Linked DNA regions of Elephas maximus indicus. The protein of the gene in region 4 interacts with the protein of the main gene of each other region in a pairwise test. Links are inferred from orthologs where the notes say so. Each region holds a gene or a part of one and is shown on either strand. Other genes may lie near its edges.

Region 1 (7,042 bases), on a different chromosome or scaffold from region 4:
TTAAGGAAAAAAAATAGTATTGATTGGTTTAAATTGTATTTCAACTTACAGAAACAAACAAACCAAAAAAAAAGCAGAAAGATTCCTGGTTATCCAGTAGCTGGGTAACCAGTCTCTGAATTGATGACTATTGGGAACAGCTCAACAGACAGCTCCGATGAGTGAAATAAAACATAATTCAAAAGGGTTTCCGGAACCGCTTCAGTCTTTCATACTAAATCATTTTCTGGAGCTGCTAACAATTAGAAAATGATTCATTTGCTCTTCCTCTTCTCTCTCTTCTGGCACAGTCTCCAGTGGAGGGCTTAATGAGAAGTCAAATGAACACAAGAGGCAACAGACGGAAGATCTTGAAGTGGGCATCAAACGGGCCTGTTTTACTTGGTGATGGCAAAGAAAATTCTATTGAAAATTTGCCAGGAATGAAGATTAAGACGGTAACAACGAAAAAAAATTTTCCTTTATAGTGACTTTCCTTACTAAAGATCTTTTTAAAACACAGTGAATGCAACTAAGCACAAAGGATTATAAAGTTCAAAGAAAGGCTTCTGACCCTGAAAAAATCAGCTCACCTGAAAAGATCTGTGCCTGCAATTCTGACCTGCGGTGCAAATAAAAATTCCTGTGGAAACGACCCGCTGGCCTTTCCCCAGGAACGTTAAGTGGCACTGAAAGTTTGAACTTTGTAAGTTAATTATGACTACAGAACTTCTGACAGAGTAAATGTTAGCAGGTAATTAAGGAAAACACATAGTGCAGAGTGTAAAAGCAATTGTGAAAAATTTATAAAGTAGCAAATTTGAAGAATGCACAATTCAACATGTTGATAACTTAGACAATAACCTAAGAATCCCTAAATGCCATTCTCCTCATCCCTGCAGAATTGCAATGACCGGCTTTATGGTTATGAACAGCTAATTTAACACAAATATTTTGGGTTTATCATTTGTGCTATAGACTCAGAATTCCCTAGGGCAAAAGTCCTACTCCTGCGTTAACAACTTCTTCCTTACAACAGACATCTCCAAATGTGAATAAATAATAATAAAAACTCCTAGCTACCACCTTCCCAAGTTTCCAGAGGTCCTTTCAAAGCCTTTCTATTAAACTCCTGGGTCTGGCATTCAGAATAGAAGACTAAGACAAGTTCTCTCCCATCTATACATACTTCAATTACCTTTGTGTTGAGTTTCTCTGTTCTTGAAAGGTGGGAGTTTGAAAGTGAAACACTTTTTATAGTAACTAGTTCAGCGACATCTAAAGGAGTCTTTGGGGCTAACATTCACACAGGCCAGCTCGAGTAGCCAGAAGCACAAGGAGAATGTGATTAGAGTGTTAAGTTATCCATAGCCATACCACTGCAGAAATAGATATTTTTCTAAAACGAATTCATTTTTCTCTCTCCTCTATCAACCCTGTGGTCTAGAAGAAAGCAGCTCTAGATAAAAAAAAAAAAAGTGGCCTTAATACTAGATAGCTGAGCCACCCCAGTCACAGAATCATAAAATTCCTTACTCTAAGTTTCTTTGAGATGAAGAAACAGGATAATATCGACTTCCTAAAAGGAATTACACCATGTTAGGCACAACCACAAAGGCAAAAACTGACCTACAAGGTAACCAACAGATCAGGATCCGCATTACCCTGCAAGGTAAATCACTGTCTACACGCACCTTCTTCTTCAGGGAAATGGAGAAAATAAGTGAGATCATTAATACAAAGGCACTTGTAAACAGATAAGTATTATACAAGTGGAAAAATACTAGTGGCAGTAGCATCAACTAATTTTCTGTGGTAAATTGAGAAATCAGAGAGTGTGAACACAAGTAACTTAGAGCATTTACATGGAAACAACAAATACGGAGGAAAACGCTTCTTAATCTGCTTTCCGTCGCCACTAGGTCCTTCTTTCCCCCAGAGGTCCAGAAAAGAGAACCACCAGTAAGGAGGAGGATCCAGCTTCTCCAGAGACCACCAGACAGACGTCTGAGCTCTGATGATGGCAGGAACTTCTCTAAAGCATGACTCAGGATTATCTCTGAGGGAAAGCCAGATCGAAATAATGTGTGCATTCCAATTCAAATAAACCCTAAATATCAAAATCCAAAAGACACAAGAGAGAGACGCAGAGAAGGATTCACCCTAGGATTTCTGTCGCTAGTAATGCTTCGCTGAAAATGTCATTTATGAAAATCCTAACCTTACACAATTGAGGAACGGCACCCATGGCCACGCTGACCACTCGATCCTTGATATCCATCGGATTACACAAACTGAAGTAGTGGTTGGGGCTGATGTTTTCAACCAAAGAGCCAATTCCCCCAATCTGCCAACCCTGACTACAAAAAGATTATTTTCCTTTCTACACCTTCGCTCATCTGGAAACGTCTCAATCTTGGGCTCAGGTCTGCGCTAAATGCTGTTCCTAAGTTCTTTCCTATCACTGAATCATTCGTGTCATGCATTTGTGACACAAGAAATGAACATGCCAGGAGGGATGGGAATGGCTAGGTGACCCCAAACATTCTTCGTCAAACCAGGCCACCCCAAACCTCTTCTATCACGAAGTCCTAAAACTGTGTTCTAGAGCCGGTAGACTTGAACAGAACCCTAACTTCAGAGGAATATCCAAATAGGATCTGTCACGCTTCGTCTTCCCAGTCCTACCCCCAGACCCAGACCCCGCTACCGTCAGCCTGGCGGGCGGTTCGGGGGCTCCCGATTACCACGGCCATTTGTCACCCGTGACATCAAGCCTTGAAACACGCCAGACCCGCAAATCTGGGCACAGAGGGCTCAGCGGCACACCTGGGTGTCTCCGGGGCAGAAAATTCCCGAAGCCTGGGCTCCTACGCCTTAAAGTGGGGCAAGCGCCGGCTAATAGCCACTCCCCGCAAACCCATCACCCCGAGCAAACGCGCCGGGTCCCCGCCGCCCCGCAGGCGAAACCCCAGCCGACCCCGGTCCCGACGTGGGGCGGGCGATGCTCCGGGCCGGGTGGGGGCCGCACAGCACCGCGGGGACCCCGGGCCCGCCGAGACCCAGGCCCGGCCGCTCGGCCGCGGGCAGCCCCTCCGTGCGCTCGCGCCGCCCCGGGGCGCGCGGCCAGGCTCCCCGCGGTGCCCTCTGCGCCGCCCGCCATCGCCCGGCTCCGGACGCCCCCGCCCAGATTCTCCTCAGCCCGCTCCCGGCAGCTCCCGCGGGCTTCCCCTCAAGCCGGCCTTCCCGAGCCCCAGCCCCTCAGGCCCCGTGCCCGCCCCACTCACTGCGCGGCGGCGGCGGCCGGGCCGGGAGACGCCGGCGGCCCGAGAGCGCGAGCGCAGGGACGAGCGAGCCCGCGCCCGGCGGCGGCAGCGGCGGCGGCAGAGGGGACGACTGAGCCCGCACCCGGAGTTGCGGCACTAGCCGCCCGGCGCGGGCGGCGCCTCCCGAGCCGAGCCGCCTCGAGCGCGGGCGCCCCCCAGCGGCGGCAGTGCGCGGGAAGCCCGAGACCCGGGGGCCTGAGTTGCTCAGCCGGGCAGGGCCTAGGCGGCTGGGTCAGGCCGGCTCCGCCGCAGCCTCAAAGCCCCGCCCCGCAGCCCCATGGCTCCGCCCCATAGCCCAGAGGACCCGCCCCCCGCCCCGCCCCGCCCCGCCCCGCGGGCAGTCGGGGCTCTGCCCATCCTCAGGCCGGCCATTCACGGAGATTTGGTGGCTCCACGGTTGTTTCTCCTCAGTCGCTCCGTGAACATTTATAAGCCCCTGGCCATGGTGGCCTGGTGGTTAAGAGCTACAGCTGCTAACCAAAAGGTCGGCAGTTCGAAGCCACCAGGCGCTCCCTGGATACTCTATGAGGCAGTTCCACTCTGTCCTATAGAGTCTCTATGAGTAGGACTCGACGGCAACGGGTTTGGTTTGGTTTCGGACCATGTGCAAAACCTGGGGGTTAGAGGGGGGACCGACCACCAAGACAGAGGTGGATCCTAGCGAGGGGAGAAAGCAGACAAGACTGAAGGAAACAGAGAGTAAGCAAAATAATGACAAGTTATGGTAAGTGATAGGAGGGGTGTGATCAGAGGACTTAGATGAAAAATAAGGGGAAGGGCCCGCTGCTTCACATGCAGTGGCCAAGGAAGACATGGATGCCCAGATCTGTGGTGAGCCCCTCCTGGCCCTGACCTCCAGGGGGAGGCCACCCTTACTCAAGCAGCTTCTGGCTATTATATAATTACAGGTGTAATATGGGCTGTGAGAAAGCCCCAGGCCACCACAGCCTGGCCTGATGGGTAGGGCAGGGCAGGGCAGGGCAGGGCAGGGCAGGGCAGGGCAGCTAGGCCTGATGGGTCAGCATAGGCAGCCAGTTGGGGAGAAGGGCAGAGAAAAACCAAAACCCCTTGCAGTGGATTCCAACTCACAGCGACCCTACAGGACAGAGTAGAACTGCCCCATAGGGTTTCCAAGGAGCACCTGATGGATTCCAACTGCCGACCTTTTGGCTAGCAGCGAACTCTTCACCACCACGCCACCAGGGCTGTCAGCAGAGAAAAGAGTGCAAAGGCTCTGAGTTCTGAAGGAGCTTGGGAGCTGCCCAAGGTGAGGCTGGTGGGGGTATTGTCTCCATTTCACTAAGAAGAAAGACAAGGCTGCAGAGGTTGGGAAGCCACTTAAAGCCTCAGAGCGAGCTGGTCTCCAAGCATGGACTTAGTCCTCAGCCCCCTCTTCCCAAGTCCTGTTTCCTTCTTTTTCTGTCCCTAGATCTAGATCTCTGTGCTTTCCCAGGCCAGGCCAGCTATAAGGCTTTCGTTTTGCCATTTCCTCGTCTCCATCAGGACAACCACCGGCCTCAGAAGCTCATCGAATTGCATGTCTGGGTTTCAACTTCTATCACAGTCATATCTGATACTTGGTTTTTCTCAGAAAACTCAAATTGATAGGCTAAATAAATAACATGCTTCGGGAACATAATTGAGTGTTATAGTTATGCCGACATAATTGACGTGTGAAAAGACTACGTGAGGACTCAGGGAAATGCGTGTGAAAATAACCAGTACTCAAAATGTTACACGTAGTATAATTTTAATGTTAAAAACATAAATTTGTTGTTGTTGTTAGGTGTCATCAAGTCAGTTCCAACTCATTGCGACCTTATGTACCACAGAACGAAACACTGCCCGCTCCTGCACCATCCTTACAATCATTGTTATGCTTGAGCCCATTGTTGCAGCCACTGTGGCAATCCATCTTGTTAAAACATAAATATAGGTAGACAAAAATTTTGAAGGAAATAACACCAGATCATGGATCATAGTTCTCTAGGTTGTAGGATGGGAGTGTGAGGGACATTAATTCCTAATATTCTGAATTTTCTATATTTTCTTTCTTTCTTTTTACAAAAGCAAAACAATACTGAAATTACCTAGCACTCAAATCTTCAGGATTTGGTGCCACTGAGAATCCAGAATGTTCTTGGAAGAGTCACTTCCCCTCTTGAGGCTCCTGTTTTCCCAATTAAAGAATGAAAGAGATTCACTTTGGCAGTGTTTTTGTCACACCTGTTCCAAGATGAAGCCTTCATTGCTATTGCAAATTACATTTTTTGTTTATATTTTATAATTTATTGATGGCTTATTGAAATGTAATGGCTTTATATAATGACCTTGTACTCAGCAAACTTGATAAACTGTTCTTTTTAGTTATAATTAGTTTGCAGGTTCTCTTGAATTTTCCATGTAAATAATCAAAGGGCCTACAAGCAATGACAGTTTGCCAGCTTAGCCTGTCCAGTCTTTATTTCCTTTTCCTTGTCTTACTGCACTAAGACCTCCAACACAGTGTTGAGTAGCAGTGATGATAGTGTACATTCCTGTCTTGTTTTTGACTGCTTCTCATGTTTCACCATGAAGTGTGGTGTTTGTGGTAGATTTCTCATAGATCTGCTTTATCAGAGTAAGGAAGCGCTATTGGGTTATTTAGTGTAATTATGAATGGGTGTTGAAATTTAACAAATGTGGTTTTTTCCCCCTAAAATAATGAATTGCACTCATGGATTTTTGTATATTAAACCAACCATCCATACATTCCTGGGATAAACTAACCCTGAGGGTGTATTTTTTTTTTAATATACTGTCAAATTCCACTTACTATTTTATTTCAAGTTTTTGCATCTGGGTGTATGAGTGAGTTTTGCCTACTCTTTTCCTTTCTTAGTCTCTCCTTGTCTGCTATCAAAGTTATATGAGCCTCATAAAATAAATTAAGGAATCAGGGTCTCTCTACTAGAGCAGCTTCTATAAGACTGGGGTTTGCTGTGGTTTGAATGTTCTGTGAGATTCTCCTGTAAATTGTCCGGATCTCTTGGTTTGAAGGGGTGGGGATGGAAAAGATTTACACTAGAAGCTGTTTTACCCCCACAGAGCTCAGGGCTGCTAGCCTGTGGAGGAAGCCAGCTTCTGGTTTGCAGCCATCCCTGTGACCTTGGGCCTCTCTTTTCCAGGTGGCCTTCAAGTGTCCAGGCTCCTGTGATGAAGAGGTGGCCTGGAAGGGGCTGTTTACTATGGCAGCTACATGGCTACAGATGCACAGGGGCCCAGGAGGACACTGAGGGAGGCAGCAGTTGGCAAAACCATTTGGTGCTTTCAGACCAAGATGGAAATTAGGCCTGAAGTTCTGAGTCTCCCCCCTTCCCCTCCTCCCAGCTCTCTCTTCATGGGTGACCTCACCTCCCACTTGGCAGGAAAATGATGCATCCTCAGTGGGGGCTCCCTGGCTCCCTCCCTCCTCTGCCCACTTCTGGGTTTACCTGCATTGTGCTGTCCTCTCATAGGATGGCTGAGGGATTCTGCCTCCTGTCCAGGTGATCCCCTCCCTGTCTCTGGGTCTGTCCACTTTCCAGCCCATTTACCTCTCTAGGCTCAGATCTTCAGCCCCTCGTCTCTCCAGGCCCCCTGCCACCAGCAGATAAACAGCTTCAGGGCTCTATCTGATGTTAATTTTCAGATCTCCCCCTCAACCCTATCTCCCCCCATCCCAGGCTGCTACTCCAGTGTCCTCCTCCTTTTCTTCT
Region 2 (7,715 bases), on a different chromosome or scaffold from region 4:
AAAAAAGTTGCAGCCCTCACCTGTGTTCAACTTTCTAAGACTACCTCACAATATATTCAACAACCTTATTCTACTATTCAAGTGTTTTGCCAAGCAATTACTAAATAGTCTTCAGTCTTAATACTTTGTGAGCACTGCCGTTTTTCTTGTCAAGACGACCTTTTCCTAACTCCTTCTGTTAACTGTGTCCACTCCAGAGTCAGCATCTTTTTCCAGTTACACTCCATAATCCTATATAACCATTCATGAAATCTTCTTCCTCTCATTTGAAATTACCCTAAATCTATACTGGTAGAATGAATACTGATTTTCTTCACATACTGTTAAGAGGAATGGGATGAGGACTGAATCCCACTCCTCTTCTTTCCTTCCCTTCTCCCTACCCCTTGGTCAAACCAAAAGCCAAACCCATTGCTGTCGAGTCAATTCCCTATAGGGGCGCTATGAGTTGCTACCCCTTGGTAGTGACTTAAAAATACTAAAGTTTAGAAGGAGAAAAACAGGGAAACAACTTTATAAAAAGTACGTTAAAACCCAAGAGCTGACATTTGAGTTTTTTCCTATATGCTAAACACTGTTCTAATCATGTTACATGTAATTTCATATGATCTTCACAATAACCACGCTACTATGTATGACTATTATCCCTAGTTTAGAAATGAAGAAACTAAAGCACTCAGGTTAAGTGGCAGATCTTTTCCAGAGCCTTTTTATGTAACCACCACAATAGAGAATTCACTATTATATCAAACCTCTATATTATTCAGCAAAAAGAGACAACTACAAGATTACATGTGTCTCATTTGTGAGGAGATAACTTATTACTTACCTCACTAGTGAACATGGCACAGAAGTAATCACTACAAGCAGCCAGCACAATCCGATGGGCAGGGAAGTCTTTTTGCTCTACTCTCAATGTCACATCACAGAGGGTGTTGCTTTTCCTGAGGGAGTTCATTGAATTGAGGATGGATTTAGCATGAGTATTTGTCATTATGTCTTTGGGGGCCATAATGCCTCCCATTAAGCAATTTGGAGAAAGAACAAGAGTCGTCCTTGGATCCTACAACTAAAACAGAGGCAGACAGAGAGAGAAAAAAAAGAGCATATTTGAAAGACTGAAGGAAACCGAACATATTCAATTAACTTTAAAAATGAAGGAGCTAAGGGGAAGTTTCCTGAAACCGAACCCTCCACCAGTAGAGAGCACTCTTCCTCCTGGCATCACTGCCAAAACACAATCCGGCTACTACTTCAATTAAATGATCTTTTCTTTCTCTGAATTCCAATATCATTGAGTGCCCTTACCACTTGACATTATTATAATTAATACTAAACTGTATTGTAAGTAGAAAGATATTATACATGTCCTGCAGGTTTTCACAAAATCGTTGTCTCAAATGATAAAATTCCTTAAAGGTCTGATAACTACCAATATCCACAGGTAGATAAGATTTTAGAGACTGAGGATCCGGTTTTATAGTTCTGCTATCCTAGCAGGTACACAATAAACATTAATTGAATACAAGAAAAACTGTGTTCAACTTAGAGCAAGAATGGCCAGAGATGGTGAAAATGAACTTTTTCTAAAGAGTATGCAAAGAATTATTTATGAAGACCTCCAAATATATCTGGGTTTCTTATAATGAAACCTCAAATGAGAATCCAATGTCTACACTGCATAATGAAAACCATGCAAGCTACCTATGGGCTTTCAGTTGATTAATCAGTTGAAGCTGTTCAACAGAAGAGTCTGCCTACTCTATATTATTAGTAAATGTCCATCAACATTAAAAAATCAGTATGTGTACTTATTCTTCTATACCCAAAGAGCCTTATTAGAATTATAAACCTATCAGAACTCACTAGCTTTACTGGGATAGCTCATCACTTGCAAAGTTCACTGTATGCAGCTTAAGGAGTACTTTCTTGATTGTTGACAAGTTTTAGTCACACTTTTTTTTTCTTCTAGGGCAATTTCTAGGTAATGAAGTGGGATGGACTAAGACAGCTTATCTTTTTTGAAATCTGTAAGTTTCCGAAATGATCGGGGGGTGGGGGGTGGGGAAATCAATCAGTTGTCTTCCAGACACCACAACTCCCGACCATAACTTTTGCAGAGCAAAAACGAGCTCCTCACTACTTTCCTAAATTCTCATCTACTTCTGTTTATAGTTCGCATATAATTCTGTCAACACTAGATAATCCCTCTAATAGCTCTGCAAGATCCATTTCACAGAAAAGAAGGTGATGCGTCAAACGATGTTTTTAGAAGGATTTTCGTTTACTCAGTTTCAAATCTGGGGATATAAAAAAGGTCTGAACAAATGCCGATTTTATTGTGAAGATGGTGGGGCGGGCGGTTAGTCTATGACTGGGCTTATAGTTTTAGTGTAAAAATGACAATAACCCTAAAGCAGCGTGACCTTCCCTCTTTGGGATTCCTGTCCTTCAAGTTATCACCAGGGGAAGTCTCAGCCACATCCCTCACCCTCACCTTTCTGAGGTGACCTATTCTAGAACTTCCGTTAATATCTGAATAGAGAGGTTCCAACACGGGAGATTCGGGGAGGGGCTAAGTTCTGGCTATTCGAGGTGGGAGAAAAGAAAAGGAGGTCTCTTCCCCTGACAGCATCAGGAATAAGGCCGGCACCGTCAGGTGAGGTACCCAAGGGGCGCAGCTCAGGGCGGAGTTGAGAGGAGCGAGCTCGCTGCCAGAAGCCCCCAGTCTTCCTCCTCTCCAGGGCATCTCTCCCATTCCGCCTCGGAAGGAGACGACAGACGGGGGAAGGGCCAAATCCCGGAGCTGAGGGGTAGGAGGAAGAGGGCTGACTGCCGCCCCCTCCGCGCAACTCACCTCCGCTCCCGGGCCCACCCAATCGCTCCGGCCCGTCCCCCGCCCGTGGGGTGGAGTGGGGCGCGGGGCTAGCAGGCGGCTCAAGTGAAGCCGAACCGCCGCCGCCCCGACCCGGAGGCCCTGGAGCCGTCACTGTGATTGTCGCTGTTTTCGTCACCAGGTCCGCGCTAAGTGATGACGTATGCAGCTAAAGGCTCGGCCTCGTCCCACGGGGCTGCGTCACGTGAGGAGGCGGTATCACGTGACCTGAGTCTACCTGGATGTCCGCTTTCAGTGCGTTTGTTCTTCTGCTTGTTTGGTGCTGTGGAGCTGATTCGGACTCATAGCGACCCTATAGGATAGCGTAGAACTGCCACATGGGGTTTATTAGGCTATGATCTTTATAGGAGCAGATCGCTAGGTCCTTTTTCCCCCGTGGATTCTGCTGGTGGGTTTGAACCTCCTGCTTTTTCGATTAGCAGCCAAGCGCTTAACCATTCCGCTGTGAGGGCTCCTTCACTTTAGTGCATTAAAAAAAAAAAAAAAAAAACCGAACCCATTGCGGTGGAGTTGATTCCGACTCATAGCGACACTACAGTGCGTGTAGTGAAGGCGAAAAGGGAAAGGTGGGTGGGCGGGGTGTGGCAGGCAGGTGTGTGTGTGGAGTGGGGTGGGGGTTATGTACAGCTTTTCACTTTGGTGATTGCCGGAGGCTGAGCCCCTTCTTCCTAAGGTGCACAGGCAAGGACAACTGAGAGGATTCCAAAGATTTTTAAGCTCAGAATTTGATTGCAAACATACACATAGACCAACTTAACAGTTTCTACATGTACGGTTCACTGAAATTGATGATATTCTTTCAGTAGCACAGCCATTCTCAGCCCCCTTTTCTGAGTTATTCCTCCTTCATTAATATAAACTCAGTGCCCCCCCAAGTTTCTATCTAATCTTTCAAGATACTGTTGTCTATTTGTTCCCACAAAGATAGTTCTTAAAAGAGCATAATGCTCAAAGCAGACGTTTTTTTTTACTAGTTAAGCTAAACCGTTGTTCAGTTTTAAGGAGAATTCAGGGTACATTTTTGGTTTAAGGTTTAAAATTATCAGTGCTCCATAAAGTTTTCAAGGCTAGGCCTATCTTGGAGGCACCCCTGGGTGGGTTCCAGTGGTTAATGTTTACACCGTTCAGGGACTCCATATGTGCTTGTATATGTATAAAATGTATATGGAAAGGTATAAAATAAAGTGGTAACTGGTTTCTTTGGGGAGAGGAACCTGGTAGTTGGTGGGGGGGGGTGTGGGCGGGCAGGTGGGTGGAAGATAGTCTCTCTATATCTTGTTGGGCTTTTGTAATTTTGAATCCTGTGAATTAAAAATATGTACAATTTAAATAAAAATCATCCCTTATTTTTGGAGTACAAAAAGACACCTTAATAATATTGCCTAATTCCTGGCTACTAAATCAAGAATTTTTCTAAATATGGGAGGGAACTTAAAAAGATGGTTTCTTTAGAGTATGGCTACTGTTTTCCAGAGAATTAAAGATGGACAAGCAGCTAGCAAGAGTCAACACACTGAGGAAACCAGTTCAGGGTTCTCCTATTTTCTGCAGGGGTACAGTCCTGGCACATATTGGGTCTTTGAATCATGGGTTAACTCTCCTTCCCATACAAGAATGTCTCAGGAAAAGACAACTCTCAGTGCAGTCAGTGAGACAGAGAGGCATACTATGCTGACCATGCTATCTCATTTTAATCTGGATTATAGCTATATGTTTTTCTCAAAAAAAAAAAAAAATGTTTTTCCTCCATGGTCAAAACCAGGACGTGAAATCATATGCCCTGAGGGGTCTTAACCAAGTGACCATCTGCACCCCTGAAAATACATGCACTCAGGAAGAGTGCTGTCTGGGTGCTGTTGCCAACAAAGTATTTTTGCAAGATAACCAAACCCGTTGCTGTCGAATTGATTCCAACTCATAGCCACCCTATAGAACAGAGTAGAACTGCCCCATAGGGTTTCCAAGGAGTGGTTGGTGAATTTGAACAGCCAAGCTCTTAACCACTGAGCCAGCAGGAGGCCTTTGTGACCATGATTTAAGTAAGCATCCTGTGAATTCTCTGTAATCACTAACTACACTATTAGTAATCCGTAACCAGTGTGATTATTACAATATTTATTTTCCTGTAATTGCCTTCGCTGTGGTTTGGTTCCGTTTTTTACCCCATAAGAATACTTGTATAAGGAAACTGTCCTGGGATACCTGGTTCCATTTTCAGTAGGCTATGTAGTTTCCCAATTGCAACTGTTTTTAATTCTTAATAAACCTTTCTGTTTTAACCTGAAGCAGCGTTCAAATTTTTCTCTACAAGAATATTGTTTACAGGCATTTGGATATCTGACCCGATATCCTACAGCCCAAACTTATTCTAAGTTTCTAAGGTCCCTTCTTGAGGGTTGAGTCCTGATAAGGTAAGTCAGTAGCCAGGTCCCATAAATCATCCTGACTTTATGGTTTGGATACCTGTGGTGTTGATTCTGGTGTTCATAGCTATTGAAAGTTTCAATGAGGGAAAACAGGGACTTTGCCTTAAAACTCAAGATCAGGTAGATGAAGGTACAGGTCGAACCTGTAAACCAGTCAGGAAGAATATATTGTATTTTTGCAGGACGCACCTCTCTATTGCCTACAGTGTGTAACGAAGCGAAGGCCCCAGTTACTGCTCTGAAATTCGCTGCTGAATTTGCGCCAAGGCTGAGGCCACACCTCCTGCGAGCTGGTCCCCGCCCCTTACCAGGAACGGCAGAGGTCCTAAAACCCGTTAAGGTAGAGTCGATTCCGACTCATAGCGGAGGTACTAAGGCAGACCCTTTATTGGGAGACTGGCCTCTTGTCATCAGACCTTGGATGAAGGATTTCCAAAAAACCAAGGGCTTGGCTGAACTTTTCTTATACTGCAGGGCAGTCTAGGACGCTTCTCCCAACCTTCCTCTTTCCCTTCTTCACAGGGGTCAGATCTGCATCGCGCGGTCTGCTTTCAGCCTTGTCCTGCTCCCTTATTTTCCTTTACATACACTCGTATAGACATTTACCGTCATAAAATCTTTGCGCATTTAATTATGCCTTGGCGAATGCTTTTCCGGAGATCCGGATTAACACACTCAAGAATTTCTTCAGACATGAAACTAAATGGGCAGCTCCTCTCTGGAGGCGAGATGAGAAGGCAGAAGGGACAGGAGCTGGTTGAATGGACACGGGAAATCTGGCGTGGAAAGGACTGTGCTGTCACAGTATAGGGACAGCAGCTAGGGCCACGTAACATTGTGTGTATAAATTTTTGTATGAGAAACTCACTTGAACTGTAAACATCCATTTAAAGCACCCAACCCCAACCCATTGCCGTGGAGTCGATTCCGACTCATAGCGACCCTATAGGACAGAGTAGAACTGCCCCATAGAGTTTCCAAGGAGCGCCTGATGGACTTGAACTGTCAACCTTTAGGTTAGCAGTCGTAGCACTTAACTGCTACTCAGCTCCAGTTGGTGACTTCTGCTAACAGTTTCTGAAAGTGTTTCTTTTTTTTTTTTTAATTTAAAATTGTTCTGTATTAAATGTCAAGTAGATATAACAAACTGTCTTTAGTTTTGCAAATTTCTGAACTTCACGTAAATGCAATCATACCATATGCATTCTTCTGTAAGCTGCTTCCTCCCTCCAACCTTATTTCTGAGATTCAACCATGTTATTGCTTGTCACTGTAATTCATTCATTTTCACTGTTAATGTTTCATTATATGAATAAACCAAGACTTATTTTTCCATTCAACAGCTGTAGGCACTTAGGTTGTCTGCAGTATTTTGTTACTACAAACAGCTGCAATGAACCTTTTGGTATGTTTCTCAAAAAGTGTTTTCACCGTTGTGAACTGTGATCTACTAATGAGTTATGAAAACAATTTAGTGGGTCAGAACCAGCACTTTTTTTTAAATGAAGTAACCTGAGACAGCTATCAGATCCATCTCGTATTGTTTCATGAAATATCTGAATCTTTTAACATGGGCATATACTATATGCGTATCAGCACAGAGTGGTTCTACCAACGTATACGTCTGTACCTGCACCAACACTCAGTATTATTAGGCTTTTTAATCTGCCAATCTGGCTGGTATATCATTGTGGTTTTAATTTAGATTTCCCTAACTAACACTTGAGGCTGAGAGACTTTTCCTGTTGGCCTAGTTGGGTTACTTTTTAAAAGGATCATTTGCTATTCCAGTGGTACAAACTTGGCTGTTGAAGTAAATCCAAGTTTATTACCCCAGAAGACTCTCAACTGCCCATGTCACTGAGAAATGATTACTGCCGGGCCTTACGCTATCCAGTGAACAGAACCCGTGTCAAGTTGAGTGCTACAATTCACAAAGGCACAGAAAGGCGTGGAGTGACCCCTTTAGGAGACAACCCTGAGCAAGATCTATTATGTAATAGATAGATCTTTGATAGTCATAAGGGATCTATCCCAGCACCTTTGAGAACCTTCTAATTACTGAACACCACTAACTCAGTGCCCTCGAGTTGCTGAACACCACTACAGCATACTAATTTCCCTCATAAAATGTCTCTGCAGCAAGGAGAGAAAAATAAAGCTATATTGACGTGTTAGAAATACAGTTAGGTTCATTCACTGGCCAACATATACAGACCATCAGTGCTGGTGATTCAAACTTATACCTCAGCAGGAACTGAAATTTTTACAGGTTTTAGACCTTTGGAGTCGTGTGCAGAGAGCTGAGACCACACATGTTAAATATGTGAATGTCAAGTATCTTCTGTACTTTCTTTTATTATCATCAGTCATCACATCAAGTACATAGCAAT
Region 3 (6,838 bases), on a different chromosome or scaffold from region 4:
TTTCCAAAACTTCTGCTTCAAGCTCTAGACTTAAGTGTCGGCTACGGTGAAGTGCAGCCCTGCCTCAGACAAGGGTGCAGGGAACTTGTGGGTATAGGGAACCACGGTTACCTAGGATTCAAAAACAAACAACAATAAAAACACAGTGCCCCTTCAGTAGATCTGGGCTCACAGGGACCCTACAGGATAGAGCAGAACCGCCCCATAGGGTTTCCAAGGCCACAATCTTTAGAAAGCAGGCTGTCATATCTTTCTCCCAAGGAGTGCTGATGAGTTCCAACCACCGACCCACTGTGCCATCAGGTCTCCTTTGCCCACTGATTATGTTGCCTAAGTTCTGGGACACCTGACAGCCTTCTTTCCATAATGCACACAGGACTGGGCTCATCTCCCATCTGCCTTAAAGGTCAGTACCCACTAATCTCTGTAGGGTGCCAAGTTAGTATCTACTGAACAGAATTATGGAGCACTGGTGGCGCAGTAGTTAAGAGCTCAGGCTCCTAACCAAAATGTTGGCAGCTGGAAATCTACCAGTCACTCCTTGGAAACCCTATGGGGTAGTTCTCCTGTGTCCTATAGGGTCACTAGGAGTTGGAATCCACTCTACTGCAATGGGTCCGATTTTTTTCTCTGGGGAAAACCCTTATCTCAGCTTCTCTAGCGCTCTTCCCAGCGTGCCTTGTGGATCTCCACGGAGCATCCATCTTTCCTCCATTCATGCTTGCTTTTTTCTGTGTCTAATCTGCTCTTTTCTACCTCAAAAACTGAATTATTGGGTAAAACAGAAGTGCGCGACGAGGCAAGAGAGAAAAAAAAAAGCATATTTCTAAAGCGCAGTCATTCGCTGGGCGCTTTACCTGTTTAATGCTCACTGGAGCCCCATAAGGACTGAAATCCTGCAGCACAAACAGACGCGGGAAACCGAGGCTCAGGGAACTGGAGCCAGTCGCGGGCCTGGGCAGAGGCCGTGCTCCTCCCAACACCCCGAATTCTGACGCAGTCCCATCCCACTGCTCAGCCTCTCCCCGAAACCACCCACGTCTCCTTCCTAAGCGGGAAAGCTCGTCCAGGCCGCGATGCACGCCGTGAAGATAACCGGGGCGCGGCCGGACACCCCGAGCTCCCGCCCGCGCTCGTCTGACTGTTTAACGGGCAGGGGTGCAAAGTCTCCGTTCGCCCGCCACCCGGGAGCCCAGTTTGCAGCGCTCCCGGCGGCATCGTGGCGCGCGGGCACCGTACCGGCTCGGCGGGCCCGCCCGTGCTCCGGTTCCACTCCGCGAGTCTGCAGAGGGCCTCTCCGCCTCCCCGGCCAACAAGGACCCGCGCTCGGAGCAGGAAGTGCGGCGAAGAGGCGGGGCCGCGGGGCGCCGGAAGCTGGGGCGCTCTAGGAAGGGTGGCGCGTGGCCGGGGTGGTGCGGTCTGCGCCCCGCGAGCGCTCCTCCCCGGGGCCCGTGGCCCGCGCCCTGCGATTACTTCCTCCCGTGGCCCGTGCCCTGCGAGCGCTCCTCCCCGGGGCCCGTGGCCCGCGCCCTGCGAGCGCTCCTCCCCGTGGTCCGTGGCCCGCGCCCTGCGAGCACTTCCTCCCGTGGCCCGTGCCCTGCGAGCGCTCCTCCCCGTGGTCCGTGGCCCGCGCCCTGCGAGCACTTCCTCCCGTGGCCCGCGCCCTGCGAGCGCTCCTCCCCGGGGCCCGTGGCCCGCGCCCTGCGAGCGTTTCTCCCCGGGGCCCGTGGCCCGTGCCCTGCGAGCGCTCCTCCCCGTGGTCCGTGGCCCGCGCCCTGCGAGCACTTCCTCCGGTGGCCCGTGCCCTGCGAGCGCTCCTCCCTGGGGCCCGTGGCCCGCGCCCTGCGAGCGCTGCTTCCCGGACGCCCGTGGCCCGCGCCCTGCGAGCGTTTCTCCCCGAGGCCCGTGGCCCGCGCCCTGCGAGCGTTTCTCCCCGAGGCCCGTGGCCCGCGCCCTGCGAGCACTTCCTCCCGTGGCCCGCGCCCTGCGAGCACTTCCTCCCGTGGCCCGTGCCCTGCGAGCGCTGCTTCCCGGACGCCCGTGGCCCGCGCCCTGCGAGCGCTCCTCCCCGGGGCCCGTGGCCCGCGCCCTGCGAGCGCTGCTTCCCGGACGCCCGTGGCCCGCGCCCTGCGAGCAATTCCTCCGGTGGCCCGTGCCCTGCTAGCGCTCCTCCCCGTGGTCCGTGGCCCGCGCCCTGCGAGCACTTCCTCCGGTGGCCCGTGCCCTGCGAGCGCTCCTCCCCGGGGCCCGTGGCCCGCGCCCTGCGAGCGGTGCTTCCCGGACGCCCGTGGCCCGCGCCCTGCGAGCGGTGCTTCCCGGACGCCCGTGGCCCGCGCCCTGCGAGCGCTGCTTCCCGGACGCCCGTGGCCCCGCGCCCTGCAAGCGTTTCTCCCCGGGGCCCGTGGCCCGTACCCTGCGAGCGTTCCTCCCCGGGGCCTGTGGCCCGTGCCCTACGAGCGTTCTTCCCCAGGGCCCGCGCTCTCCTGAGCGTTCCTCCCCGGGGCCCGCGCTCTCCGAGCTTTCCTCTCTGGGGCCCGCGCCATCCCAGCGTTCCTCCCTGTTGCCCGCGCTCTCCAAGCTTTCTTCCCTGGAAGCCCGGGGCCCGCGCCCTCTGAGCGCTCCTTCCCGGGGCCCGTGGCCCGCGCCCTCCGCGCCCTTCTCCCCGGTGCCCGGGGCTCGCCCCCCCAGCGTGAGGGCCTGAGCCCCGCGGAGCAGGAAGCACTCCTCGGCTCGGGCACCTGTCCGGGAACGGCTTGGCTGTGGGCGGCGCTGAGCCCGGCCTCCCGGGGTCCCTCGGCGTCCGCCTTCGCCGTGCTTTGTGCCGCAAGCGTTGGGCGCTGGGCGCGGGATGGACTGCCCGCACTCGGCTCTGCCTTCATTTTTTTTTTAATGCATTTTTAAGATACCTGAGTGTAAGGCAGGGGTCCTTCTGATCAGTAGTGGTGAGGTTTTCTTCCTACTGTCGATTCCTTAAAGCTGGTGCTATAAATACTCGTTATGTGTGCGTCAGAGATGACCCGCAGAGCCCAGTACAGTGAAAGCGGAAGGGGATGGAGATGAGGAGGCCTGGTTTTGGTCTCTGGAATGAACCTGCTGTGTGGCTGTGTCCTCGTGGGGAATCATGATAGGTGGTGGCGTGACAAGTTTTTAGGGGAAGGGCTTGTTTGGGGGACGCGGACTGGGTCCGGCGGGGAGCGCCTGGAAGGCCGCCTCAGCTTCTATTCAGATTGAGTTTGGAAGGGTCTGAGGGGTTTCCCCAAGTCGCCCACCGCCTCACCGCGCACACCCTTCTTGGAACTACCGCTGATAACCGTTGCCGGCTATAAAATTGTGCATGTTTTTATATAATTATTAAAGAGATCAGAAAAACATGGCACAGGGCAATAGAAAAGACCATCAGTGCCATTTCTGAGGTCACAGACTCCAAGAACGCGTATCTGATTTTCTGGCGCTTCGGCAGTCTATTCAGCAGCCTAGGCCCTCAGTCTGGTGGAACGCTGTTTCCTGCACACAGAATGGCAGAAGATGCCGTTTTACACCCAAGGCTGGAGGATACCGTGCGCGTTCCGTAAACAATGGCTCCTGTAATAATCGTGAGTTCTGATCTGCACATCCCGGCTCTGAGCTGCTAATCCAAACAAAAGTTTGTTAACTATTAATTTAGCCTAACCGAGGAAGAATGATGGGAATAAACACTTGGTTCCATCTAATTTCTCACTCCAGCGGACACGTCATTCTTCATCCCCCTGGTCCAGCCCGTACCTTCGATAATTGAATTCTGTGCTGTTCTTCGTGGGTGCCGGGAAAGCAAAAGGAGAAATACTTCATCGTTAGCTGTAGTTTGTTTTTTTTCTGTGATGAGACTCAGGCTTGAAAGAGCTACATAGATTAAGATGATGATTTTTAATGTCAGGTTAACTTTATTTGGCTGTCCTGTTGCACAAAAATTTATTATATTCCCCCTCCCAATTCCGCCGCTCGGGCCTTGTCACTCCATCTGTAGTCTTCGGGTCTTCGTAGATCCATTTCCCTTCTTACCAACCTACAGCCAGTACATCACCAATTGCCGCTGGTCCTTCAACCACAGCATCACTAAGCTTTCTCCCTTTGTTCTGTAAAGACTGTCGTACGTAATTTAGTTACTTCTCATCCTTCTCCATTTTGGTCAACACACACGCTCCCCTCTGCAATACATTCAACATCATGCTTGCTGCAAACATTACTCTGAATGCGCCCGCGTTTCACTAGAAGTCCCTCATCTCAAAGATGACATCATTCATAATGCAGGAAACTCTCCTGATTCGTGGTTTCAGAACTTGAGGTTTCAAATATTCTGCGCCAACAGCCAACCCAGGCAGCTGAAGGAGAAGATGCATTCCTTGGTATATCTTGCTCATTAACACCTTGTAACTCCAAACGTAACTGTAGGTGTTATATCTCTCTCGTTAATACCTCGTATTTTGGTTTATAATTGAGAACCTTTCTGCACTTACCACAGATACAGAGGTTTCTTACAGTTTCAGTCGGATTTACAGCACGTTTTCTCCAGCAAAGAGGGGGGGCTTCGCATAGGGGTGAACACACCAACGCTCATAAGGATTATTGTCACAGGCTTTGCCTTGGCTCCTCTACTTGCAGGCCGGCAGGTTAACTACATCTGATCTCTAGCCTGGCCTGGAATAATTCAGGAATTTGGAGGTGGGGATCCAGATTAAAAAGAAGTCAAGGTAAGCTGCCTCTGGGTCTGCCTCAGAAGGGGCTTTGATGGTGTTCATAGGTGTCTGCCCTGCCAAGATACTGCTGACCGCTTCTCCTACTTCCCCTCCTTACCAAGGAAAGGATGTGACTGTAACCCAGGAAACCAGGTCAAGCTGGGGGTCTGGAAAGTAGCAGTCTTTACATCAAGTTTGTAATGGGAGAAATGGCACAGGTGTTGGATCAGACCAGACTTTAAATTCTAATTCCCTCCAAGTGACCATCAGAAGGTACTTAGATTCTTTGTTTCTTCATCTATAAAATAAACAACAGTTATTCACTCAATTCATTTTTATTAATTCTCTACTATGTTCTAGGTGCTGGGGATACTACAATGGGCAAGACAAACTGGTTCTTGCTCGCACAGAGCTTACCTAGGGCCCTTCTCTCTCCGCTGCCACAAATAAAGTCCCAGTAAATGAACCTCGTTGTCGCTGGCTCAGTTAACGTCATAGGATAAGTTGCCTGTTAGAACATCTTTGTTCTTAATTCCATGGTTATCAGGATGAAAAAGTTCTTTTCATAGCTCAGCAACTGCACTTACAGGGAAAGTACCACTTCTACTGTTTTTCAAAAGAACAACTCTTTGTTTCCAGTCAGCAATCCCAGTTAAAGGGAACTGTTTAAACCTTAAATAAGGGGATGACTTATCTGCTAAACCACAAAAAAAGCAAATGAAAGTTTTAGAATAAAAGATAATTTAAATATGTGGCCTTGTCAATTAGAGCATGAGGTCAGTTCATGTTTAATGAAAAGACTTCAAAAGGACTAAATATTCTGTCAAAAAATTCAGAATTTGTATCTATTTTTACCGTCATGAATCTTCAAAATTGTAATGATGGTCAATGAGGAGATGTTAACTTGGCATATCCCCAAACTGGATGCTTTGCATATTGTATATCAATAACTGTTTGTTGACCAAACAAATAAATTACAGTGAAACCTCCAAAAGCTGAAACCTGTGTAAGGCAGAAACGTCTGAGAGGAGGAAAAGTCAAATATTTTCCACTAATAGAGAACGATAGAAAAGTGGTAAGACTGCACCCTACTGAAGGCAGAAAACTGTGAGACCCAGAAAAACAAGGCAGTCACATTGAGTCCCGGCTCTCACCCGTTTCACTGTAACAGAAATAATCACTCTTTGCCCAATTTTTCAGAGCACCTAATACATAAAGATAAGTCTTCATCTGAAAACTCTACTTATACCTCTGTACCATGTTTTTATGCGAATAACGCACACACTATTTTTTTTGCCAACCTGCGCGACCCTCTCATGCGTGTTGTGCTATGCGCGTTATGTGTGTGAGTGCGTTATTTCTCTGGGCAAGTTATTTGCCGAAAATGCGGTATCTCTTTTATCTCATTGCACTAAATAGGCCTGGAGAGACATTTGATAAGTGACACTTGGGGCTGGTGAGCCCAGGAACAAAGGGTGAGAAGAGTTGTTTACAAGACATGTGCAAGATGTTGGTCTTGGCGCACAGATGACCATCTCACCTACCAGAACTGAAGCCAGAAACGTGCAGCAGGGAAGGCTGTTGGCTTCTTGGCGGTGTGTCAGCACTTCGCATGACTTGCTTTTCCTCTGCAGAGCTGAACTTGTCGCCTCTCTCATACATAACTGGTTGAATTTGATGGAAATTACATATCTTATCACTTCTTAAAAGAAAAAAATAAAATGTAAGTCTAAAAGAAATGGGCAATTTTCTTGTACCATTTTCTATTTCTGTGTAAGTTACCAAGTGCCAATCATTCTTACTTTTTAAAATTCAGATTTGTCAAGCAGCATGTAAGCTTTCAGTGTCATACAAGAAAAGATAATGCTTCCTGGGGAACAGTCACTTATGCTGGTTCTGTAAAAAGGGCCTAGCAAAAGCGAATTTATCAGATTGCTGGTTTTACAGAAATATTAATGATCTCATTAAATTAGACCCTCTACTCTGGGGTCATCGTGGAATATACTAAAGGGTAATCAACGAGGTGTTACGGTTCTGGATATAGACTCGCCACTCGTTTTGCAGTGTGTTTTATCTGCTGGAACAAGGTGACTGCCGAAGAATCACCGTAAATGAAAGCCCCTGTT
Region 4 (7,385 bases):
AGCTGTGGTAGTGACCACAGGTGGTTACAGTCAGGGGGTTGATCAAATAAGGAAATATATTGAGGATAATGGGAGCCAGGTATCTCACTGTCAGAGAAAAAGGGAGTTACAAATATGGAAAGGGACAAAACAAGAATGAACTCTGTGGTGTTGGATTGGAATTGGAAGCACCTGTGTGAATTTATGCTCTTCAATATGTAAAGATTAGTATAGAAATACACACACACACAAGTCTTAGCTCTGTGCACTGAGAGGGCTGAGAACAGCAATAATTCAGTTAGCAAAGAACACGTACTCAGAGGCCACTCTGGGTGGAGAAGGATTGGAGTGTCTGCCGTAGAAGCAGAATTGGGGTATAGCTCCTGCCTGTTGGTGCTCTGCCAAGGTGTGGGAGAGGGTTGGGCTCACCCCGCTCATTTAGTAAAGACTGGAAAGGTTCCTGAATAGCTAGATAGAGATAACACATGATATCTGATCATGCAATCCATTCGACTTATCTGACGATGGGCTCATCTGCCAGCACCATGAAGTGGAAACACCAAGGTCTCCTTTGTCATCTCAGAAAAGTCTGAGGGAATAACTAAGGACCAGCTCTTCAGTGTTTACCTGGAACATGGATTGTGCCAGTCCCCGTGTTCATTTGAGGCTTGGTCTAAAGTGGTGATAACAACTACTGCTTATTGGGCATCTTCTGTGGGCCAGAAACAGAGAGAGGTCTTTTAGTGTTCTCTTTCTAATTATCACGATGATTCTCCAACTTATGTTTTATAGAAACATCTCCATTTTATAGAAGAGAAAATGGAAGCTCAGAGAGATTTAGTAACTTGGTTAGGCTACGCTTCTAGGAGGGGATGACTCTGGGATTAGAAACCAAATCTGAATAGCTCTTTTCGCTGTTCTGTGCCGTCTCCCTTCACACAAGGCCTCTTGATCTGAAGCCTCTTCCACCTTGCCTCTCGCACCCAGCAGGCTTCCCAAACCCCCACCCCAACTCCCACAGATTAGTGGTTGCCTCCTGTGTGATCCCAGAGCACCTATCAACTGTACATAGTTGCATACAACTAATTTACAAAGCTTTGATTGAAGGCTGGGCCCCTCTTCTCTGTATTCACGGCATCTTGCCTGGACCCAGGATTAGAAGCAAATAAATTAATAAACCTCATTGCCGCTGAGTCAATTCTGACTCATATTGACCCTACAGGACAGAGTAGAACAGCCACATAGGGTTTCCAAGGAGCGGCTGGTGGATTCGAACTGCTGACCTTTTGATTAGTGGCTAACTCTTAGCCACTGCACCACTAGGGTAATAGTTTGCATTTATTGAGCACTTGCGAGCCTCTATAGGGTCACTATGAGTTGCAATCGACTCCACGGCAGTGGGGTTGGTTTTGGGTTTTTTTAAGGAGCCTCTGGCTGGTGCAAATAGTTAAGCACTTGACTACTAACCAAAAGGTTGGCAGTTTGGACCCACCCAGAGATGTCCCAGAAGAAAAGTCTAGCAATCTGCTCCTGAAAGGTCACAGCCTTGACAACCCTATGGAGCACAGTTCTACTCTGAAGCACATGGGGTCTTCATGAGTCGAAATTAACTCAATGGCAACTGGTTTTTAAAAATTTTTTTAGTATGTGCCAGCAAAGGCTTCACGTGCATTGTCTCATTTAAACCCTGAGACAACTTTAAGACAACTACCACTACCACCAGCTGCCATGTGCAGCTCCCCGCTTCGATGGCTCTGCACTCCTTGAGTGTATAGCTGGGACCACGGCCTGGCCCAGTGCTAGGCACAGGAAGCAGAGTTTATCAACATTCATCCAACTGGATTCAATTCCCGGGAATGGAAGTAAACAGGATACTGTGAAGATGTATTTCTGCATTTTTCAAGACAGTTCCAATTTTTAAAATTCCATCCTCTCATTGGACCATTTATCAGAATATGTGCCAATGAATGTAGCCTGATACTTGGCTAGGAACATACAGTCACCATTTTAGTGAAAAGAGGCAGGAGTTGACACATGTCGGTGGCTGAGTCACAATTTCTCTGGACCTAAATTTCTCCATGGGTAAAATGGGACTGATAATACCTGTTCCTATCATAGAAATGAAACAAAATGTGTATGTGCCTGCGTTTTGAATATTGATGAGAATAAAGTTGTATACAATCCAATTGCCATTCACAGGGTTGCTTACAGTTTTACTAACCTGTTTGGCAAATGGTTTCCATTCTTGAAAGTAAAGGAAGAAAGACGTTTCCGCGAAGACCAGTGCGGGGGGAAAAAATGAGCATGCGAAGAGCAAGTGTCCTGAGGCCTTTCTGGTATTTTGAAAAAAGATACAACTAGGTATTTCTGTCTACTGAACTCTCCTTAGGAGTTTCTCAATGATACAAATGGTTAATTACTTGACTACTAACCAAAAGTTTGGTAGTTCGAACCCACCCAGAGGCATTTTGGAAGATAGGCCTGGCGATCCGCTTCTGAAAGGTCACGGCCTTAAAAACCCTACTCTGCACACATGAGGTTGCCGTGAGTTGGAATGGACACAACGGCAACTAACAGCAAGGCTCTCCTCAGAGAATTTGTGTGTGTGTGTGTGCCCATCTGATAGAGGTGGGTGTGGGAGGCTGGCATAGTCAGGAGTCAAATTTTCTCAAATTGTATGAGATTCTACCTGGTGGAGAAACCAGGCAATCTTACCTTTGCTGCCTGTGGATCAGTTCCCAGGTGTAAGGGGCCTCAGGTGACAGTTCTTTTGGAAGCTGAGGTTTTCTGACTCCAGAGTAGTTCGGGAAAGCTTCTTTCTCTTTCCTGCACCTCGTCTTCCAGACATATGTGCAGACCACTCTGCCTTCGTATACTCAGAGGTTAATCAGCACATCCCCTGTCTTTTCTGCAAGGTTTGGGCAGAGCAGATCCATGATCCCGAGAGAGGGCAGCCTGTCAGGGCGCCACTTCGGTTGGAGAGCAGCCCCTCAGAGCAGCCGCTCGTTCGCATCAGTGACAAATCCATTTGGATGGGGCTAAGCCTCCCTCCCTCAAACTTCCTTCTGCTCTTGCCAAAATGCAGGACACTTTTGTTCACCTTTAGGGCTGCCAAGTCAGGCCTACCGCACCCCTGGATGTTGTTTTCCTGCAGGCAATGGGAACATGAGCTTGGAACCAGGGAAAGGAAATCAACAAGGAAACAAACACTGGCCACTGCACCTTCCGGCCATCGTTAGGTCTGGGACATCATCATGCTCAGAACCAGTCCCCAAATAAGCCAGGGCTTCCAACTGGACCTGTCTCAGAATCCTGCTTGTCTTTTTGTTTTTAAATGTGCAAAGAAAAGTGCATGAAATTCTATATCAGGCAAATGAAACAATCCTGAATTTTTCCAGTACCTTGCCAAAACTTCCAAAGATTTTCCATAAGCAGTACCACGCATCACTGGATGCTAGCTAATGTTCGTAGACAAAGAAAAGTGACGAGCAAGTTTAAGGGTGACACTATGAAAGATTTTTAATTCTAAAGATATAGGATTATTGTTTAAATAAGAATGTCTTCTGTTTACTTTTGACCATCATCACCTTTAGCAGCCACATCTTTGCTGACATTTATTGTGTTTACCGAATGCCTGGTCCTATGCTAATTTCCTGATGTGCATTATTTCATTTAATTCTCATCATAATCCTATAATCACCATTCCCACTTTATAAAGAAATTGAGTATTAGAGAGATTAAACTACTGCAAAGTGACTCAGCTACTTAAAATTTGTTAAATCACATTTCTGGACATGGGCTTTTGAAGTCTTGCTTTTCACACACACACAAACACAGCCAACTGAACCTGTTGCCATCAAGCCGATCTTGGCGCACGGCAACCCCATGTATTACAGAGTAGAACTGCTCCATAAGTGTTTTTTTGGCTGTAATCTTAACGGAATCAGGTTACCAGACCTTTCTTTTGTGGTACTGCTGGGTGGGTTAAAACCACCAACCTTTAAATTAGTAGTTGAGAGCAAACTTAGCCACCCATGACCTGCTTTTCCCACCAGGTAGGCTTATACACCTGTGTGGGAACAGCTTCAGGGATAGCCAAAGACATTGCTTCAATAAGCTACTAGCTGCGGGAAAAGAATTCTAAACAGCATCACTGGTCATCAGTTACATGGTCTCCCTCTGGTGATGTGCGTTGGTGTATTTCACATGTAGTGTGTATGCAGGAAAAGTATAATCCAGGTACCCAATGTCCTCTCTAGTCAAAGGTGGTGCTGCTAGCTGCTGTCTGTCTCAGGCCCTCCGCTGTGATTTTGACTTACAAACCAGGAAGTGCCCTGTAAATCTCTTGGCTCTGGGTGTGTTTTGGTCATGGCCGGGTCACTAGTTTGTCCTTTTGACAGTAGGCGCCTAGCAGTTACAAGCTTCTTTTAATCAACAATCCATGGAATGAGATTGAGTTCCTGGCCTGGAAACTTCTGCCTGGTGAGAAGAAACCAGCCCATGTGTTTTTAGTCTTCAGTCCTTAGGTCACACTGCAACCTTTTTGGGTTTTATTGTCTTCATCTTTACTTCGAATTGTTAGCAGTTAGCTCTCCTGTGCCATGGTGGTTACCCCGGGGCAGCTGGCAACTGGTCAAAGGAAAGTAAAACCGTTAATTAGGAGACAGAGAGATGGCTCCCAGCGGGGTCCAAGTTGCCTGTTTTCATAAACATAGGAGTTGCAACATCAGGGCAATTGCTCCCCTTATTTACCCTTGGATCTGGTTTGGTGGATCTTTGGGGTATTTTGCCCTAGGGCCACATAAACCTCTCAACTTGAGGTTGGTCAGCTTTTCATTCTTTTTAACAGAGACTATAGACTTATTTACTGGAGTTATAGTAATAAAGAGGAAGATGGGCTAGGGGCTGGGCATTTAGTTTGGATATCAATTCATTTTTCTTTTCCTGTGGTTTACATTTAAGCGTAGCATCTAGATATGTTTATAGACTTTGGTCTTGGAGTTCTTTGATGAGGAAGGCAATTTATAACAGTCAAATGGGCCTTTTCAACCTTATCACATGAAATGAAAAACCAAAATTTTGGAAAGGGGCTGACGTAATGGAAGCTTTCATGTTCAGCATCTGCTCCACAGCCTTCGATCAGGGAACAAAGATAGATGTGGGTACTGCGGGCAGCTCTGGGGTTTTCAATGCAGAAGGGTAAGGTAGGTAGATTTCACTTCTCTCTCTGCTCCTCCGAGCATGTGGATCAGTACCGACTGATTGGCGTCCAAGACTTGAGTCCATTCTAGGATTAACAGCAAACATATAAACGTCCCCCAAAATTTTTGTGCACGATCATGGAACCAGTGCAGCTGACTGTTCAAAACTGGAAACAGAGAGAAGTCACAGATGAAAACAGGATGTATTAATTTCACTTTACAAATGTGCCCTCTCCAAAGCCAGATCACTTACACCATGGTGACCTGGATCTGCTCAAACTCCACTGCTTTTGAGCATCATTTCCATTTGGTGTGGGATATTCTAGGTGAGTGACAGATCTCAACTCAGCAGAAAGGTCCAGATGTACTTAAACATTTTAATAATTATGGGAAAGCAAATTGTCTTCCCCTTGGAAGGAAAGATGGCCCGTTTTTAAAGTATCCTGGAAAGATAGCATGCCCAGTTATTTGCAGAGAAAATTGCCTTATTTTGGGTCTATTTTGAAGGAGGAATATTAAATCTGAGAAATGCTGAATTTTTTAGAATAGCCATTTCTATCTTTAAATGGTGATAAAGAAACTAGAACCTGAGTTAGCTTTCTCTCAGGTCCCTTTTCACTCTTGTGAGATTGATCAGGGTTAAAATGGATTTATCATAATAAGAGATAGAAAATAGTTTTTTTGAGCAGTAATGGACTGATTGCTTTCCTTTCTCTCCTCATAAGAATATAACTTATAGTTTATACAAACGGGTAGGGCAACAAGGGGAGGAGTCCAAAGCCCCACTCCAAGGTTTTAAATAACATCTTTACGCCAACAATCCCCATATTCCTATCTGTGGGTCAGATCTTCCAACCGCTTGCTCCACGACTCACAGCCATTTCATACGTCACACTTTCAAAGCCAGCTCTTCATCTTCTTCTCCTGCTCCTCCTCCTGTTCCTCCATCTCAGTAAATGGCTTTTTTATCCACCCAAGTGCTCCATCTGGAGTTGCCATTATGCGCCTTCTTTCTTAAACCCCACATCCAATCCATAAGTTGTTAGTTGCTGTTGAGTTGGCTCTGACTCGCGGTGACCCCCATATACAACAGAATAAAACGTTGCCCAGTCCTCGGCCATCTTCACCATCATTGGTATGCTTGAGTCTATTGTTGAGGCCACTGCGGTTTTGAATGCGTTTCATCCTAGGGGGCTCATCCTCCAGCACTATATCACACAGTGTTAAGGTGTGATTCATAGGGTTTTCATTGGCTAATTTTTGGATGCAATGCATCTTTTGCATTCAAAAGACATATTGCATTGGGCAAATCTGCTGCAAAAGACCTCATTAAAGCCTTAAAAAGCAAAGATATCTCCTTGAAGACTAAGGTTCACTTGACCCAAGCCGTGGTGTTTTCAGTTGCCTCATATACATGTGAAAGCTGGACGATGAATAAGGAAGACCAAAGAAGAATTGACGCCTTTGAATTACGGTGTCGGCAAAGGATACTGATTATACCATGAGCTGCCAAAAGAATGAATAAATCTGTCTTGGAAGAAGTACAGCCAGAATGCTCCTTAGAAGCAAGGATGGTGAGATTACATCTCACATACTTTGGACATGTTATCAGAGGGATCAGTCCCTGGAGAAGGACATCATGCTTGGTAAAGTAGAGGGTCATTGAAAAACAGGAAGGTCCTCAACGAGATGGATTGACACAGTGGCTGCAACAATGGGCTCAAGCATAGCAACAATTGTGAGGATGGCGCAGGACCAGGCAGTGTTTTGTTCTGTTGAACATGGGATCACTATGAGTCGGAAGTGACTTGATGGCAACTAACAACAACAACAATTTTTGGAAGTAGATCACCAGGCCTTTCTCCCTAGCCTGTCTTGGTCTGGAAACTCCACTGAAAGCTACACTCCATGGGTATTTGACATACTCATGGCGGTGTAGCTTCCAGCATCACAGCAACACTTAAGCCACCGCAGTACGACAAACTGACAGACAGGTGGTGGGATCCATAAGTACATCCTGTCAATTCCACCTCAAAAATTTACATCAGCTTCAACCACTGCCCTCTGTTTCCATTATCACAGGGGTCCAACTGACCGTCCATCATCTCTCACCTGGGTTACTGTAGGCAATCCTAACTATCCTGCCTGCTTCCCTTCTTGCCCCCAGTCCCTCTACCAAATCTATGTTCCACACCACAGCCAGGT

The links.
Region 1: the proteins of LNX1 (region 4) and KCTD6 interact in binary tests that used the Homo sapiens proteins (3 or more experiments, as listed by UniProt). The link is inferred for Elephas maximus indicus from reciprocal best matches to the Homo sapiens genes LNX1 and KCTD6.
Region 2: the proteins of LNX1 (region 4) and KLHL12 interact in binary tests that used the Homo sapiens proteins (3 or more experiments, as listed by UniProt). The two-hybrid records come from large-scale screens. The link is inferred for Elephas maximus indicus from reciprocal best matches to the Homo sapiens genes LNX1 and KLHL12.
Region 3: the proteins of LNX1 (region 4) and DCTD interact in a two-hybrid assay, tested with the Homo sapiens proteins (2 studies listed by BioGRID and IntAct). The link is inferred for Elephas maximus indicus from reciprocal best matches to the Homo sapiens genes LNX1 and DCTD.

What each region holds. Positions count from the first base shown.
Region 1 is NC_064838.1:63,072,962-63,080,003, reverse strand, and holds the start of KCTD6 (BTB/POZ domain-containing protein KCTD6), read right to left. Parts: upstream 3,024-7,042; 5' UTR 2,261-3,023; coding exon of another isoform or gene 2,201-2,260; 5' UTR 2,073-2,200; coding exon 1,845-2,072; intron 1,439-1,844; exon of another isoform or gene 1,283-1,438; coding exon of another isoform or gene 1,178-1,282; intron 602-1,177; coding exon 573-601; intron 1-572. UniProt on the Homo sapiens protein: Probable substrate-specific adapter of a BCR (BTB-CUL3-RBX1) E3 ubiquitin-protein ligase complex mediating the ubiquitination and subsequent proteasomal degradation of target proteins.
Region 2 is NC_064836.1:11,645,651-11,653,365, forward strand, and holds the start of KLHL12 (kelch-like protein 12), read right to left. Parts: upstream 3,017-7,715; 5' UTR 2,858-3,016; intron 1,070-2,857; 5' UTR 1,025-1,069; coding exon 830-1,024; intron 1-829. UniProt on the Homo sapiens protein: Substrate-specific adapter of a BCR (BTB-CUL3-RBX1) E3 ubiquitin ligase complex that acts as a negative regulator of Wnt signaling pathway and ER-Golgi transport.
Region 3 is NC_064839.1:80,975,627-80,982,464, forward strand, and holds the start of DCTD (deoxycytidylate deaminase), read right to left. Parts: upstream 3,012-6,838; 5' UTR 2,907-3,011; intron 1,346-2,906; exon of another isoform or gene 1,240-1,345; intron 1,014-1,239; exon of another isoform or gene 858-1,013; intron 1-857. UniProt on the Homo sapiens protein: Catalyzes the deamination of dCMP to dUMP, providing the nucleoside monophosphate substrate for the thymidylate synthase/TYMS.
Region 4 is NC_064823.1:107,994,627-108,002,011, reverse strand, and holds the start of LNX1 (E3 ubiquitin-protein ligase LNX), read right to left. Parts: upstream 3,020-7,385; 5' UTR 2,695-3,019; intron 1-2,694.